Linked DNA regions of Lonchura striata. Each later gene encodes a partner of the first gene's protein in a complex. Links are inferred from orthologs where the notes say so. Each region holds a gene or a part of one and is shown on either strand. Other genes may lie near its edges.

Region 1 (7,563 bases):
CTTTGAGTAGCTCTTCATCCAGGTTTTCCATAACTGATTGTTGGCACCCTGATAACACACTGTTGCAGGGAAGCATTTTTCACAGGGCTTCAGACAAGAACTGTAAGAAACTCATTCCTGTACACCCACCCAAGGGAATCTGGGTATCCAAATGCCTCCACGTTGTTATCTCTGCATAACATCTCTGCTGTCAATGACCCTTCCTCATCAAAATAAATCTGCTATGGCATGAATAGGAAATTCACTTCACTGAAATAATTATCTATTATATCTTTTCAGGGAGAAATTTTCCAAGGTAATTATTTTGATGATGTATAAATCACAAATTCTTCTTAATAGAAGACCTATGTAAAGGCCCTGCAGAACTCCAGTAGTTCTTAGCTGCTGGCATGTGACAACAGCTACCAACAAAAAATAAAAACCAGCCTAAAAATCCGCATGATTACAGTAAGCCAGGTCTCATTTGCAAAGAGTTCAAATCACCAGCCATCTGGAGAAGCCATGTTCATTCCTCACTACTACCAAACTAAGGAGGAAAAGAGGAAAGGAACTAAAAAATACAAAGTTTCAGCATGCATATAATTAATACCTCTGAGCTCAAAAAAGGTAGCAGAGCAGTTCCTGTACTTCAGAGGACTGGTCATTTAGCCAGAATTAAAGCTCTGCAAATACCGGTCAACTAAGAAAAAATAAGAAACTAAGAGAAAACAAGAATGTTTCAGCATCAAGTGCTGTGCTTCTTGACCAAGCAGCCTTGGCCTTCAGCTCAGTGAAAGGCAAGAAGGTGCCAGAACCCACAGACTTGTCAGACCACAGCACCAGGTCCGAGCTCAGCCAGCCCTGGGCGATGCTGCAGAGCTGCACATGACACTGCTCTGTCACACTGCCCTCCACTGCACAAGCTGCACTGCTCCCAGCAGGCTGGCAGCTCCCAGAGAGAAGAAAGCTCCTGAACTCAGGAAGTTCTGCATGCTCCCAGTGACAACGATCTCACTAAGCAAACACTGCCTCTGACCCACACTGTTCACGCATAGAGAAACCACACTCTTGGTGACCCCACACTTCCCACACAGAGCTGTTTGAAGATCTGAAGAGAAGTCTTGCAGGGCCCTCAGCTTCTTGAAGATAGCAAGATTAAACAAAACAAAAAAAAAAGCCTATTGACTTTGCAAAATTAAAATTAAAAGTATATTTCAGTGTCAGACAAGATTCTAAGACCCATATCTTACTGAACAGTACAGTGAACTAAAGAAGCAAAAGCAAAGCACAGATCATCTGTGTTATTTTTAAATATCTGGCACAGCTGAAATCACCAGCAGCTTTTCAAGATGACCTGTTCTAAAAACACACAAACCTACTACCCCTCTGACATATTTGCATACAGGGGAAAGCAGATGAGACATAATTATCCTATCTAGTAACAGTCCACTTCCTATTGCAGGGAATAAATGTCAATAAACAAGGCAAGCAAACTGTTTCATGCAAGCAGAGACAAAGCTTTCCTGTTGGGGTTAGCAAAAACAAAAACAAAGAAAAATCAATAGTCAAACTACATTGTGAGATTTAATTACAGGAGAAAACCACAGGCCGCCTGACAATTCTCACAACACTCCTTTCACTGGATACACTACAGGGATTTCGCTCAAGAAGACTGAGCTGGCAAAATTTGTTTAATTGTTTAAAATGAGAAGTCTTCCTCAGAGTTTTCACCATCCTGTTTATCTTGCCTGAACAGTTTTGGAACTCATCAGCAACCAACAGAGCCACTGCTCTACTCAGAATGCAGCGCTTGGTTGCAATAATCCAAGGCTCCCAGAACTGTCTGGGGTTTAAGCTGCTCTGAAGCTGCTGTCCCGTCTCCCTTCTTAGATCCCTTCATGCAGACACAGTTTAGCGTAGAAAAAAACATTTCTGACGTGAAGCTAAAGCTTCCGAAGGTGACAACTGCCAAGATCGTGCAACATCACCCTTTCATCAAGGGCTGCGCCTCGCTGCATGCCGGGACCTGCCGCCCCACGGACCACACCTCTGTTAAAAGAAGAGGGTGGATGCACCCTTCTCCAGTTTATGGAAATTCAGCTGTAAGCTGCTGGAGTGCTACCAACACCGAGCTGCACCGACGGCAGCGATCTTCCCCGTCCCAATTCCTGTGTACCCAGACCAAAGCACCAGACACTGGCACAGTTCACACGCTCAGCCCTCCAGAAGTTTCTGAGGTTGCTGAAGTATTTAAAGGTCTATTTTCAAAAAAAAATTCAAACTACACCTTTTATCTACACCTTTGGTTTTTAAAACCTCAGACTACACCCTTTATTTTTATATATTTGCATTCTATGCAATAACGAGAAGTACACAAAGCTACCACCTCTTCCAGGATTTATTAAAAAAAATAAGGAAATCTGGAACTGAGACTTCAGGCTGAAGCATAGAAAAAGTCTTAAGGAATAATTAAGACAATAATGACTGTTAAAACGTATTAGCTGCCGCACTGGAACAACAGTCCTTAGGGCAGCCAGCCCTTCCCCTCGATCCCTAGACTGCCTGTCACAGGGGAAGGGAATTCCCTCCCCATCCCAGCAACAGATTAGTGGGTGCCGTCAAAACACGCGCTCGCCAAGGCTGATGCCGGCAGCACTGCCGGTGGTGTCCTGCCTTCTGCGTGTCTAATCTGCCTTTTCCCAAACGCAGCCAAGCTATTTACCATAATATCCTGCGGTAGCCAGTTCCGCAGGTTTATCAGATAAAACCTCCCCGAGCCCCAGCGAACGCGCCCCGCCATTCACACACACAGCGCGGGGTCCCGCCTCAGCCCCGCGCCGCGGCACCGGCAGCGCAACGCCGAGGGCGGCCCGGGCGGAGGGGCCCGCCCCTCCCGAGCCCCCCGCGCCGCCCGCCCCAGCCCCGCCGCCGCCTCCGGCCCCTCACGGCCCGAGGGGCGGCCACCCCGCCAGCGGCCTACCCACGCCCCCGGCCGTGCCGCCCGCGCTCACCGCTGTCGCCGATGATGAGCAGCTTGAAGAGGTGGTCGTAGTCCCGGGCCATGGCCGGGGCGCGGCCGCGGGCGGCGGAGCGGGCGGGGGGGGGGCGGGGGGCGGCGGCGGCTCCGGCCGGAGCCACTTCCCGGACAAACAGCCGGAACTGACAGCGGGGCCGCCGCCGCGCATGCGCCGGGCCGCCGCCACGGGCCGCCAGCTGCGCCGCCGCGCCTGCGCCGGCCCCGCCCCGCCCCGCGCCGCGGCTGCGCGGGAAAACGGCCGCGCCCTCACGCGCCCGCGCCTGCGCGCGAGGGGCGGTGGCTGAGGCGGCGGATGGCGGCAGCGTGAGGGTGAGGGACCCGCCGCCCTCCGCCCAAACCCGTCCTGCCCCCGCGCCGAGCCGCCCACAGGCCTTTCATCGGGAGCGCTTTGCCGCCCCGCTTCCCGTAGGTGCTCGTGTGAGGACGCGGCTGAAAGCGACGCTGCCCCCAGGGAAGCATCAATGGCGTGAGGGAGCCTCAGCACTCCCAGCTCTGCTCCGAAGGAGCGATTTGTGTAGGTACAGGAACAGTTCCCAGCGCAGCCCAAGCCGCAGGTGAGGAGCCCCACAGCAGTGATATGAGCTACCCAGGTGTGTGTCACAGGCCTGGCAAGTCAGGCCAGTCTGAAATGAATTCCTGGGGTTTTTAATCCAGAGATGTTCCTGTGTGTGGCTCAGGAAGGGCTTTGACCTCACGCCCATCAGCAGCTGTGCTTGCACCGTCCCCAGCTCATATATGCAGTTCAAAAGCACTCCCAGTCATCCAGCAGCCTCAGTGATTTTGTTATCAGTTGCACAGACACTGATTACACAATTACTGCAAGACTGTGGTCACTTTTTAGGAGATCGTCACTTCTAAGTGGAGACATGGCACAAGAAAAGTGCTGGCTTTTTGCTGTGATTAATTTTTCTTTAAAAAACATTCACACTCGTACTTGAACTCCTGAGATCAAGTTTGAATTATTTAATGAAACCTGTCTTACTAACATGCATTGTCATTCAGATAGGAAGAGGTATATTAGCACTAAAGAACTTGGATTGTTACAGATTATAAATGAGTCTGTATTAGGAATAAATTGTTCCCTGTGAGGTGGAGAGGCCCTGGCACAGACTGCCCAGACAAGCTGTGGCTGCCCCATCCCTGGATGTGTCCAAGGCCAGTCTGGGTGGGGACTGGGGCAACCTGGTCTAGTGGGTCATGTTCCACCTAATTATGAACCTTTCTTAATCTTAACCTTCAAAAACACATTATAGGTTTCAAAGTGCACCCTGTCAAGGTCCTCACATCCTGGAATCCATTCATGTGACCTTCAGCTGACATTCACTCTGCAATTCATGCATTTTAAACACCACACACATACACACACACACACACATATATATACACATACATACATATACACACACACATATATATGTGTGTGTGTGTGTGTGTATATATATATATATATATATATATATAAAATCACTCACCCCAGACAAGCACTGGGGCAATCCAGCACCACCAGAGTAACTGAGGACGCAGTAGCTGCAGGGAAATTCCTTGAATCCAGCACACAAACCACCAGCTCAAACCCAAAATGACAGTGACTCCTATTACCTCTATTTTTAAGCTCATGAAACCTCATCATGTGAAAAGTGTCATGATGTTACTAAATAAAATGGACAGTAAGAACTGTGACTGATCAAAAAAAAAATCAAAATATTTGAGTATTTTATGCTTTTACATTTGTCTCTCTTCCATTGTAATTTTTAGCACCTTGTAAACCTCTCTCATAAATTATTTTTTGATCTTCTTGAAATGCACACAGTTCAGCTGTCACTCAGAGACAGTTGCTTGACAGTTCAAAGATGTTATTACCATCAATTGAAGGGAAAAATTATCTTTTACTGGCAACTGGTATTTTTAAGACATTTGAAATAAGAAAATTAATTCTTTAGTCTCCAAGTTGGCACAATCAATTTATCAGATCTCGTGGCAAGCATTATGGCTATTTTATCTCTGATATATTATACTGCAATGTATAAATAGTTTAACAAAAGTAGCTATCAAAATCCAAATAGAGTGTTTCACTGTGACTGAAAAATCAGCATATTCTCCACAAGTGCAAGTGAGCTCCTACCTTTCACTCCTCCCTCCCAGGAACAACTAAGCTCAGTGCAGAAATTCAGGTGTTGTTTGGAAAGATGAATGAGGTTTTCCACTTGCTGCTACCTAAGCTGGAAATACAAATCATCAAAATAATAGAATATCTTATTGGTTGAAATGAACAAGTTAATAAAAAAGGCTTCATTTGCCTATAATTTTCTTTCCCATGTTTATCTGGAGCATCAATTGGAATCAGAATAGGTAAGCCAAGGTGCCCATGATCAAGAGCTCAAACAGCATCTTCACCAAAACTTGCCATTTTTTCATTCCTTCCTGGCTGCAGTGATGGAGTGAGTGATTCCAGTACAATCACAGCTTTTTGACACATTCTTAGTAGGTTTTGAGTGGCATCAGATTTTGTACATGTGTCAGGGCAGAGGTTTTTGCATTGCATGGTTTAACTGCTGTTCCTGGGATCCCAAAGCACAGCTAATTCATCACAGGTGAAACTCATTCCAGTGCCCCAAGCTGCCAAATCTTTAAGAGCATTTAGCTGAGTTTTCACTCTTGAGTATTACCAATTCAATGCAAAATATGTAGTTTTCAGATGATTTCAGATTTGCAAGTATTTTGAAATGCAAAAATCAGAATTAAAACCCATCTTAAATGTGATTAAATAGAACACAATTTCTGTCACACCAACTGGGAAGCGCTGCAGTTTTGTAGAAATGTGTCCAATGCATAAATACAAGATTAGACATAATTAACTAAAGAGCCATTTTTAGTTTGGCTTCATAGCTGATCACAAACTAACATGTCCACAACATGGTGGTGTTGCAACAAAGGAACACCCAGACCTTGTGCTGGGGCGGACAACTGTGTTTGTTAAGTGGGGCTTGCAAATCAACTCCCCAGGAGACCTGGGCCAGCAGTGGACACCTCAAGGCAAAAAGGAGTCAGAATGAAACAAATCAACATGAGGGGCAGCAGTGTAGGTTTAGAAAACATGGAAATCTCTAAGGAAATACATAGAAAATCTGAATTTATTTCATCCAGGGATGAGGATACTGAAGTGACAATGTGGTTGCTGCAAAAAGGAACTGTTTTCAGTGTCTGTGGGAACAGGACAAGCAGCAATGGATTCAAGTTGCAGCAAGGAAAACTTTTTCTTCAGACATGAGGTACATTCCTGACAGTCTGGTAAGTTCATATAACAAAATAGATGGCATAGAGAAGTTATGGAATCTCCATCCTATAATGCTATAAAACAGCTGTGTGGCAGTCTGCTAGGAATGGTTTAGTGGGAGCTGAGCCTATCTTAGGTAAAGGGTAAAATATCTAATTGCCCAAGTTTCCACTAACTCCTACAGCAAATCTCTTGTCAGGATGCTACACCACAGGCTGGGAACTGACACAGCACCAAGAAACTTTTGTCAGATTTTTGTACTTCTGACCAGAACAAACCACAGCATTCCCAAATACCTGCTCATGGTTGTATCTTGCTGTTTGAGGCCTGAGTATGATAAAAATGTTCTTGTGTTTACTGCTACTGCCATAACAATCAGAAAATTGCTTCTAGCAGAATGTGTGCTCCCATGGAGTTCCACTTAATGCTCTCAGATTTTATGTGTAGTGTTGTGTTCTCCCATCATCATGGTTTGAGGCATCCAGAGTTATAAAGAAGGAAGATTACATGCACACACATACACACCACCCACATGAAATAACAAATCTTAGTGCTCTGGCTTCTCGGGTGCAACCACCTTCTGTGAGTTTCATACAATAGGTAAGGCTCACGTAACTATTGCTCCACGTGAAACATAAAGCTCATTTTGCCTTCTAAAAATTTGTATTCTGCAACAAGATTTTCAGTATATCCATCAAGTGACATCAAATCTACTAGTAAATTGATTTTTTTTCAAGACAGATATATGTGGCCAGGTAAAATAAAAGACTTTCTTGGAGCAGCACAACTCATTGACCAAAAAAACTAACGCCAAGTATTTTGTGATGCCTTTGAAGACGTAAATACAGAGGACTTTTCACTAGTTGGGTAATTAAAAAGCTGTCTGTAGTCAAAAATACTTTGGAAATCAACAGGAGTAATTACTTACAAATTTCATTAAATGTCAGTTCTGCCTTGGCTTTAAACCCTGTCTTGCCTCAGTTCTGCAAAAGGTTTTCACAGATCACAGCATTGTCCACTCTATAAACTGTATGCTCTAAACCAAACAGGTTTGAAAAGTAAATCACAGTGTAAGTTTGTTGACAAATTAATTTGTATAAAGAACAGTTTACATCAGAAGGATCAAAGTCAGAGCCTTTATTAAATGTTCCTTCTCTAAACGGACTGCATTTAATTCCCCTTTCGCATCTGTGATTTCTAAGGCTATTTTAAATACTTCGTTTTACAGGGATTTTCAGTCTTCAGAACCGTCACAAGCAGCAAGTTAGCAGTA
Region 2 (7,538 bases), on another chromosome or scaffold:
TGCCAGCAAAAGGTCACCAGACTGGAACCCTGCCCAGCAGCTTCTACACAGCACACTAACTAGGAGACTTTCAGACTGCAATTTTTCAACATGAGAGTACAAATTAATTTTCTAAATACAGACCTGTACTCTTCATGGAATGAATGGCCTGGATGCCGGCAGGGCTGATGGAGGTTAGCACTTGATGACACAAAAGCCTTCAGTTTAAAATCCAGGGCAGCTACTGACTCCCTGAGTCACCTTGGTGTGCATACTTCAGGCCCCAGCTCCCTGGTGAACGAGGAGATATTGATGCTCCCTGCTTCTCCGAGAAGCCAGAATGCAATAAAGCTTAAAAGACCTCATGATGCCTGCCATAAATCCCAAAGTTAAGGGAAGCAAACATTGTTCATTATGTACAGAAGCCGGGCTTCTTCTATGAAGTGCCTGATTTGGATGTGGAGGCAGGATGCAGGCAGTAACAAAAATATTGGCCTTCCCTGGAGACACACAGCTTAGATCGGACGGTGCTGTGTTCGTGGGGTGATGTGTGGGGTTGGTGATGGCACCTGCAGGCCTGCCACTGAGGTCTGAGAACTGCTGCTCTCGCAGTGCACACAAGAAATTCAGCAGCACAGCCCTCACCAGGACATACAGCTCCCCCACAGCCAGGCAGGATGCTCACAGAGAACTACAAAAAGCAAGCAGTTGGATCATGTTTTCCTAATTCAGAGGAAGCCTGGCTATCCCATAAAATCTCCTGGTGTTGAGAGTGGGGGTTGGAAAAGTTGAGATCCATTTATAGCTGAAAAGTCTAGCAGAGGGCTCAGCGTTGTGTGGAAAAGCAGGAGCTGACAGCTCCGTACAGTCAGCTCCACCCAGCTGGAGGGAAGAGGCAGTCTGAGGAAAGAGACAGGGATATGGAAACGTCTTTCCTTTAAGCTGGGAGTGATGGGAGAGAGGGGGCTTCCCTACAGTGCCAGGAAGAGAAAAACCACTCTCTACTTCTAAATGCATTATAAGAAGCAGGGCAGCAGAAGAGTAGCTTTGGAAAAAATGAAGAGTAGCTGTGCAGCGGATATGGCCAAAAGCACTCAGAGGTCAAGCCCAGGCTGCAGGGCTCTGTGCCTGTCTTCTGAATCCTTCATCACGTCCAGCCCTGCAGCAACACAGACTTTATCACAGGGACAGGGACAGGGCTGTCTGGGAGCTGTGGCTGGGAACGCAGCACCACACTTATTGCTGGGAGAAATGGCTGCTCCCTCACTCCAGCACATCACATCAGCCAACACATCAGCAGATGTAGCAGAATGTCCTTGCCAGCCCTCATGGAAAAAGCTTGGCCCTGAGCACAAGGCACCAATTTAAAGCATCAGCATACACAGTTATTCTGTGATGACTTCAACTCCTCCCCATGTTGTCAGGCATGAGAGGAGAGGTATTTACATAGCTAACCTAATTTAGCTAATAATTATGCATAGCCATAATAAAATTGGGGAAAATATCCACTAAAACTATGTTAAAGAACACACAGGTGATGAGGCTGTAAGAAAAGCAAACACAGTCCTAGGTGAGGCAGTGAAATACCAGAGCTATTGTATAGACTGATGAAAGAAGCATCATGCAAAAAAGAATTCTGGTCACCCACATTTAAAAATTATAAACTCAAATGAACAGGTGCAGAAAGGGCCTGAGGGAAACAAAAAACCTATCAAACAAGAAGAAACTTAAGAGCCTGGCTTGTTTAGCCTAGCCAAATGTAGGCAGAGAGCGGATAGGATTGCTGTCTAAATATATCACAGGAGACAAAACTGCTGAAGCAAAAGTATAAAGCTGGCATGACAACAAGAGAATAAATGCAGTGAACACATTTAGGCTGAAAATTAGACAGAGAGAAAAATCAACCCTTAGGTCAGGAAGCTTTCCAACTGGAATACCTGGATTTAGGATTAATTTTATCAGAGGTCTGATGGGGTTAGAGGATACAGTGCATGTGCCCAGAGATATCCAAAAGAGCCTTTATGGTCCTGTTTTGGTTCCAGCTGGTAATTAGCATGGGTCATTACTGAGATGTCTCCATTCGTGCAACAGACTTTGCTGAGTTGCTCTCCAACTGGAGAGCCCAGGGCAAGCATATGGTGCTCCTCTGCCTTCCCATTTCCTAAGAGCTGCTCACGAGAAAGGACTTCCAGGCTACAGGTCAGTGTGAGAGGGTTGTGTGGATGCACACAGGCAGAGAGAGAGCTACCAGGCAGCCTGGAATACAGGTGTTGCAGTTTGCAATGGAAAACACCCTTCAGGTGCCTCTGCCCAAACACACCTGCTGCCCCATGGTATTAGGGACAGAGATTGCTCACTGTCACCCTGTGGGTTCAGGAAAGAGAGACATTCTAAGCTCTCTTCTGCTGCAGTGTAAGGCAAGGAAACACAACATCACTGGCTATCAAAGAATCACAGAATGGTTTGCATTGGAAGGGATCTCAAAAACCACCTTGTTCCATCCTCCTGCCACAGGCAGGGACACTCTGCACCAGACCAGGTTGTTCAGAGCCTCATCCAACCTGGCCTTGTGCACTCCCAGAGATGGGGCATCCAGAGCTTCCCTGAGCCTCCTGTTCTAATGCTTCAACACCATCAGAGCATTGTCATTCTTGACCCCCAAACTGCAGCCCAGCAGGGTGGCAAGTATAGGCACAACAGCAAACCAATGTTCAAACTGTGAATATTTATATTACAGAATAATGCGGAGGAAAAAAGGGAGAGGGTGAAAAACAGAATCCAAAATCTATTTCAAGGATTAATTTTTGACATATCTACGAAACACTACAGCTTCATAAAAGACTAAATTATAATTTTCAGACACCGCACGGGCGATGACACACGGTTTGACCTCCCCCCGGGCAGCCAAGCTGAGCACCGCGCACACGAGAAGCAGCGAGCCCGCTCCTCCCCGCACAATCCCCGCACTGTCCCACCCGCCCTGCCACCGTCCCTTACCGATCGCCCGCATCGCTCCGCTGTTTACAGCTGCTCCACGGGGCGGGCTCTCGACGCTGCCCGCCCCCACCGGGTCCTCCGCCTAAGGATGTCTGACGTTTCCTCTAAGTTTCCTCTTAAAACATCCTAGCCAGGATGGAAAATTTTGGGAATTTGTGTGCTTCCCTCGTCAGGATACCGGATGAATAGAGTTGCCGTCTCAGATCCATTGTCCCACAAACCACTCCAACCCCCCCCCGCCCCGTGCACTTCTGCATATAGACTTGTTACCTCAATTAACAGAGTGCCAAGGAATCTATCATCCCAACATTCTATTTTTATTTCAAAAAAACAATTATTTTACAAAATTAGAAGTGATGTAGGACAGACATCGCTGCCAGCTGCTGTGTTTCAAATGCTGATTGTGTCAAACCACTGAAAGAATTGTATCTGGTGCAAGCTCACCAACAGCTTTATTATCCCCTACATGTTGTAGCCAACATTTTCAAATCCCCTTTTAGCCAGAAGGTGAGTACTTTGCACGTAAACCATATGAGAAGAGAGGCACAGTGTCAGATTTTCCTTGCTCTGTCAGCACAAGGTCTGCCTCTGCTGCTCTGCAATATACTCTGCTGCATCAGGTGCCAGGAATCAGGATGCTTTGATAGGAGTTTCAGTCCACAGACCAGTATGGGTATCATGGCAATGTCTGCTTATCTGCAGAAATTCTCCTTTTTCCCCTAACTCCAGGGAGGCTGACTGTGAAAAACAAACACCTTGTCAGAAAGCCATGATTGTCCCTGCAAAGTGAATGGTAAATCAGGGGGAGGTGACAAGCATTAACTACCACAGTGGTTTCCTCAGCCAGAGTGCAGACTCTCACTTTACTTAGGCATCTCCTTCCAGGGGAGATCACCAGATAATTTACTCTTTCCCTAGCAAGCAGCTCCTAGACACTGAAGTCTGGATCCAGTCCCAGCTCCAATTTTGCACTTGCCGTGCTGAAATTTAATACCACAGTTTGCAACAAGCCTCCCCAAGCAGCAGGTGCAACAGACTAGTTTGGTTATGTTTTTTTTCCTGAGCTGAGTTAAAACACAGGGAGATGAGACCTTCTATTAAAGCTTAAACAATCTCATGCAGTATCTGCTGAAACTGGGACCACAGACAGCAGGGTGTTCCATGAAATGGGGACGTGGCTGGCCTCTTGCCATCATACACTGCCTTCTAACAGCTCAGAGACTCACAGCAGAGTCTCAAAAACATCAGCTGATTACTGCACAAAAAAAAAAAAAATCCAAATCAAATGAAGGAAGGAGTCTAAATTTGTATGACAGCTGAAAAATTCCCAACCTTAACAAAAAACAAAAACAAACAAAAAAATCACCCCTAACAACAGTCAGAGGCTTAGTCCTCTGCAGCTCGGCAATACTGGCAGGACAGATTCTCATGCTGCCACGCTGGCCTTCCACCCAGTAACCCTGCTGATTATGGATTTGGTGTGAGAAAACAGTGAGCTAATCCCAGTCCCTCAACATCACCATGTCTTTAGCTGCATCTGTGCATTTTAGGTCCCTCTGCTGGCAGTCAGACTGGTAGGATTTTCAGCTCTCTACCACCCGTGTTTGATAGATAACCTGTTCCCAAGTAAAATTTGAGCCAGTGCGGAGAAACACTGCAGCCATGAAACACTCCAGAGAGCCCTGAGGCCTCATTAAGATCCTCTGAATCGTGGCCACTCTGCTCATCGGGGAGGGTAAGAAAGCCACCAGGTCACTTCATCCCTTACACTGAACCCCAGCACCAGTGCAGTAAAGGCTATTTCAGCTGCTGGCCATGAAATAGCTTTTCTGGCTTCAATAATTCTGGTGTGATCACCATCAAGACAGATGTGCACACACCTCATTATGTTAAGGGGGGCAGATGCCTTGTGCTGGCAGTCCACGTGGGCCCTAACCATGGTGTACGGGCTTCTTGGGCCAGATTTCATGGTCTGAGCCATAAGGAAGCCTGAGCACCTTCTGCTCTTTTATTTTAAGTCTAAATGAAATGGCTGGTGCCCACTTACAAAACTTGAGAGGGTTCTGAGAACAATAATCCTTTACAAAAGCAGATTTGCAGCCCAGATAAATCAGAGCAGACTGATGACTGTCAGCTCCTGATCCCTTGACCTACTAAGGGTTTCTCTGAGCTTGCAGCACTTCCTGATGGCAGATGTGGGAAGAGGGTGGTATTTGGGTACTGGCCATCTCTTGAGAAAGTGGATCACAGTCAAAAGGCTACAAAATCACACATTACAAAGGTTGTGGATTTTTGGGTTGTGTGGCTGGACCTAAGGCACACCTGGGGTCAATACTGTCACCCCAGTAATATGGCCCATAGTAGATTCATGAAGAAAAATGAAGGCACATGACTGAGAAAGACATTGCCAATTCAACCTTTTCTTCAGATTGAAATTCTCTTTGCTCTGAGGTATATAGTTAGAGGGAGAAGAAAAAAAAGTAGCATTATAAACAATCTCAGGGAGCAGAGGTGCCTCCCACAGCACGTCCTCTCTTGTGCCAGGGAGGTCCTCTGGGATACCATACAACTCCATGCTCCAACTCACCCAGCCCTCCTTCCCCAGCAGCAGCACACATCTTTGGAAAATAAACTAGAATCAGAGAGTGTGTGTGGGTGAAAGAAAAGCCCCAAGTCCTTGATTTGGCAGCCCAGAGGGCAGAGCTCTGGGCAGCCACTGGCTCGGTGCCTTGCAGGCAGCACAGCCTCCTCTCCTGACAGCCCTTTACTTTGGTTTGCTTTGTTAATTTTTAAGAGGGATGGGGTGGGGGGTTGGGAAACTTTTTCCTTTTTTCTTCTCTCCTTTTTTTTTTTTTTCTTTCGTTACAATCCTTTGTGTTTATATTTGTCACTGTTTGGTGAAAATGTTCCCGTTGTGGCAAAGGGTGACTTTGGCCGCATGTTTCTCCCAGACATGATGAGTGCTCCGAAGCCGTGCTGGTGAGAGAAGGCGTAGCCAGAGCGGCGGGTGCTGGTCCGGCGCAGGCGTCGCTTGGGTGAGGGTGGAGGGGGCCGCTTTTTGGCTTCTTTGATTTTCATCAGGACCTGGAAATAAGGTGGGAAAAGTGGAAGGTACATCATTATTCACAAGCACAGTAGAAGAGAAGCAGAGGAAGGGAAACAAAAGCAGGGACTCAAAGACAAAAATGAGGAAAGGGCATCTTCTATTTTATTTTAAAAGGTGTTAATTGGAGCGTTGTCTGTAAATCATGGGAGGGAATTATTTCCATGTGCATCTCTGTTAATGCCATAGTTGGGGTATGGCTGTAGGACTTACAGTCAGATCACCCAAAATGTGAAAGTCATCTGAACAAGTCAAAATTCCAGAAAATAAATAAGGAAACATTTAGGAATTGGCATATTTAATATAGAAAACAGACTACTAAAGGGAGTTTCTGATGCATAAAATATTTTTATGATTATAATGTTGATTGTTATAGACTTATAGATTCACAGAGTGGCTTGGATTGGAAGACACCTTGAGAATCATCTCATTCCAGCCCCGCTACCACTATATCAGGTATATCAACACTAAATACAACCTGGCATTGAATGCTTACAGGGATAATAGAGAGAATCCTGTATTCCTTGGCAGATGGGAAATAAATATTGCACTTTATTTGCAGGTGGTGGGCTTTCTGCTCCCAGGTGGCCACTGACTTAATCTGCTATCAAGAACCTTTTCAGAATGGGGCTGTCTAATGCAGGAGGCTGCTATTGAGAGCCTGTGGCTTAACAGAACCCCCAGGTGCCAGATTCCTGTGCTTCTTGCTTGGCACAATGGCAGTGGCAGGTGCTTGACATCTCAAACATCAGGCCTGTCTGCTGCCAGCTGGGGGACTCTGTAGAGCTGGAAACCGTCTCCTCTCCTGTGACCATTCATTTCCAAGAGGAGGCAGAGAAGTAATTTTGTGCTAGAGAGAGGGATGCTCAACCTTGGCAATGAGGCTGGGATTCTGGGTGATAGCTGTGTTTGACTTCTGCTCAGCCGGGGTAAACTCAGACCAGTTTTACACCCCACAGCTGCCTCGAGCTGTTTCAAGGACCTCCCTAGCCAGAAGTCTTCTCCAGCAAGGCCTACCCTCTTTGTAAGGGCTAAGAATTCCCCTAACACGTTCTTCTACAGTCATAGAGAACCTGTGGAGCTCCACAGACGTCTGGAGGATGACCAGGGAGAGCGTCAACTGCGGTGCCTTCCCCTGGGGCTGTGCTCTGACCCCGATTCGCAGCAGCTCAGCGCAGGGGAAGGAAGGAAGCACGAGGTGGCAGTAGCATTCAGCAAATGCTCCTGTTTGGAAGCGAGCCCGGGGAGCCCTGTGTGCGCTGATGTCTTGAGGGGTCCCTTGGCTGCAGCGAGCAGTGCGCTCCCTGCCCACTCCATCACTCCCTGCCTCTCCTTGCCCTGGTGCCCTCAGCTTCATATTCCCGAGGATGGGAGAGAAGCTCGTTCCAGAGGGGGCATACAGCCATTGGCTACAAAAAGTAAATTCTAAAATAAATTTTAAAATCCCCAGCAAACATAT

Evidence for each region. Proteins that work in one complex are often made in the same cells at the same time.
Region 2: the proteins of RAB35 (region 1) and RUSC2 are in contact, whole or in part, in a crystal structure (PDB 6IF2), measured with the Homo sapiens proteins. The link is inferred for Lonchura striata from reciprocal best matches to the Homo sapiens genes RAB35 and RUSC2. Residues at the interface, in NP_006852.1 of Homo sapiens: Asp4, Tyr5, Leu8, Phe9, Lys10, Ser22, Leu26, Asp30, Ile38, Thr40, Val43, Asp44, Phe45, Lys46, Ile47, Lys58, Gln60, Trp62, Thr76, Arg79, Gly80, His82; in NP_001129471.2 of Homo sapiens: Val997, Lys998, Asn1001, Asp1005, Val1008, Thr1013, Arg1015, Lys1020, Glu1119, Glu1155, Leu1158, Leu1159, Gln1161, Pro1162, Leu1165, Leu1166.

What each region holds. Positions count from the first base shown.
Region 1 is NC_134620.1:5,002,335-5,009,897, reverse strand, and holds the start of RAB35 (ras-related protein Rab-35), read right to left. Parts: upstream 3,083-7,563; 5' UTR 3,043-3,082; coding exon 2,991-3,042; intron 362-2,990; exon of another isoform or gene 1-361. UniProt on the Homo sapiens protein: The small GTPases Rab are key regulators of intracellular membrane trafficking, from the formation of transport vesicles to their fusion with membranes.
Region 2 is NC_134642.1:39,875,461-39,882,998, forward strand, and holds the start of RUSC2 (AP-4 complex accessory subunit RUSC2), read right to left. Parts: upstream 3,022-7,538; 5' UTR 2,977-3,021; intron 1-2,976. Other genes in the region: phospholipid-transporting ATPase ID, read right to left, coding at 5,839-6,060. UniProt on the Homo sapiens protein: Associates with the adapter-like complex 4 (AP-4) and may therefore play a role in vesicular trafficking of proteins at the trans-Golgi network.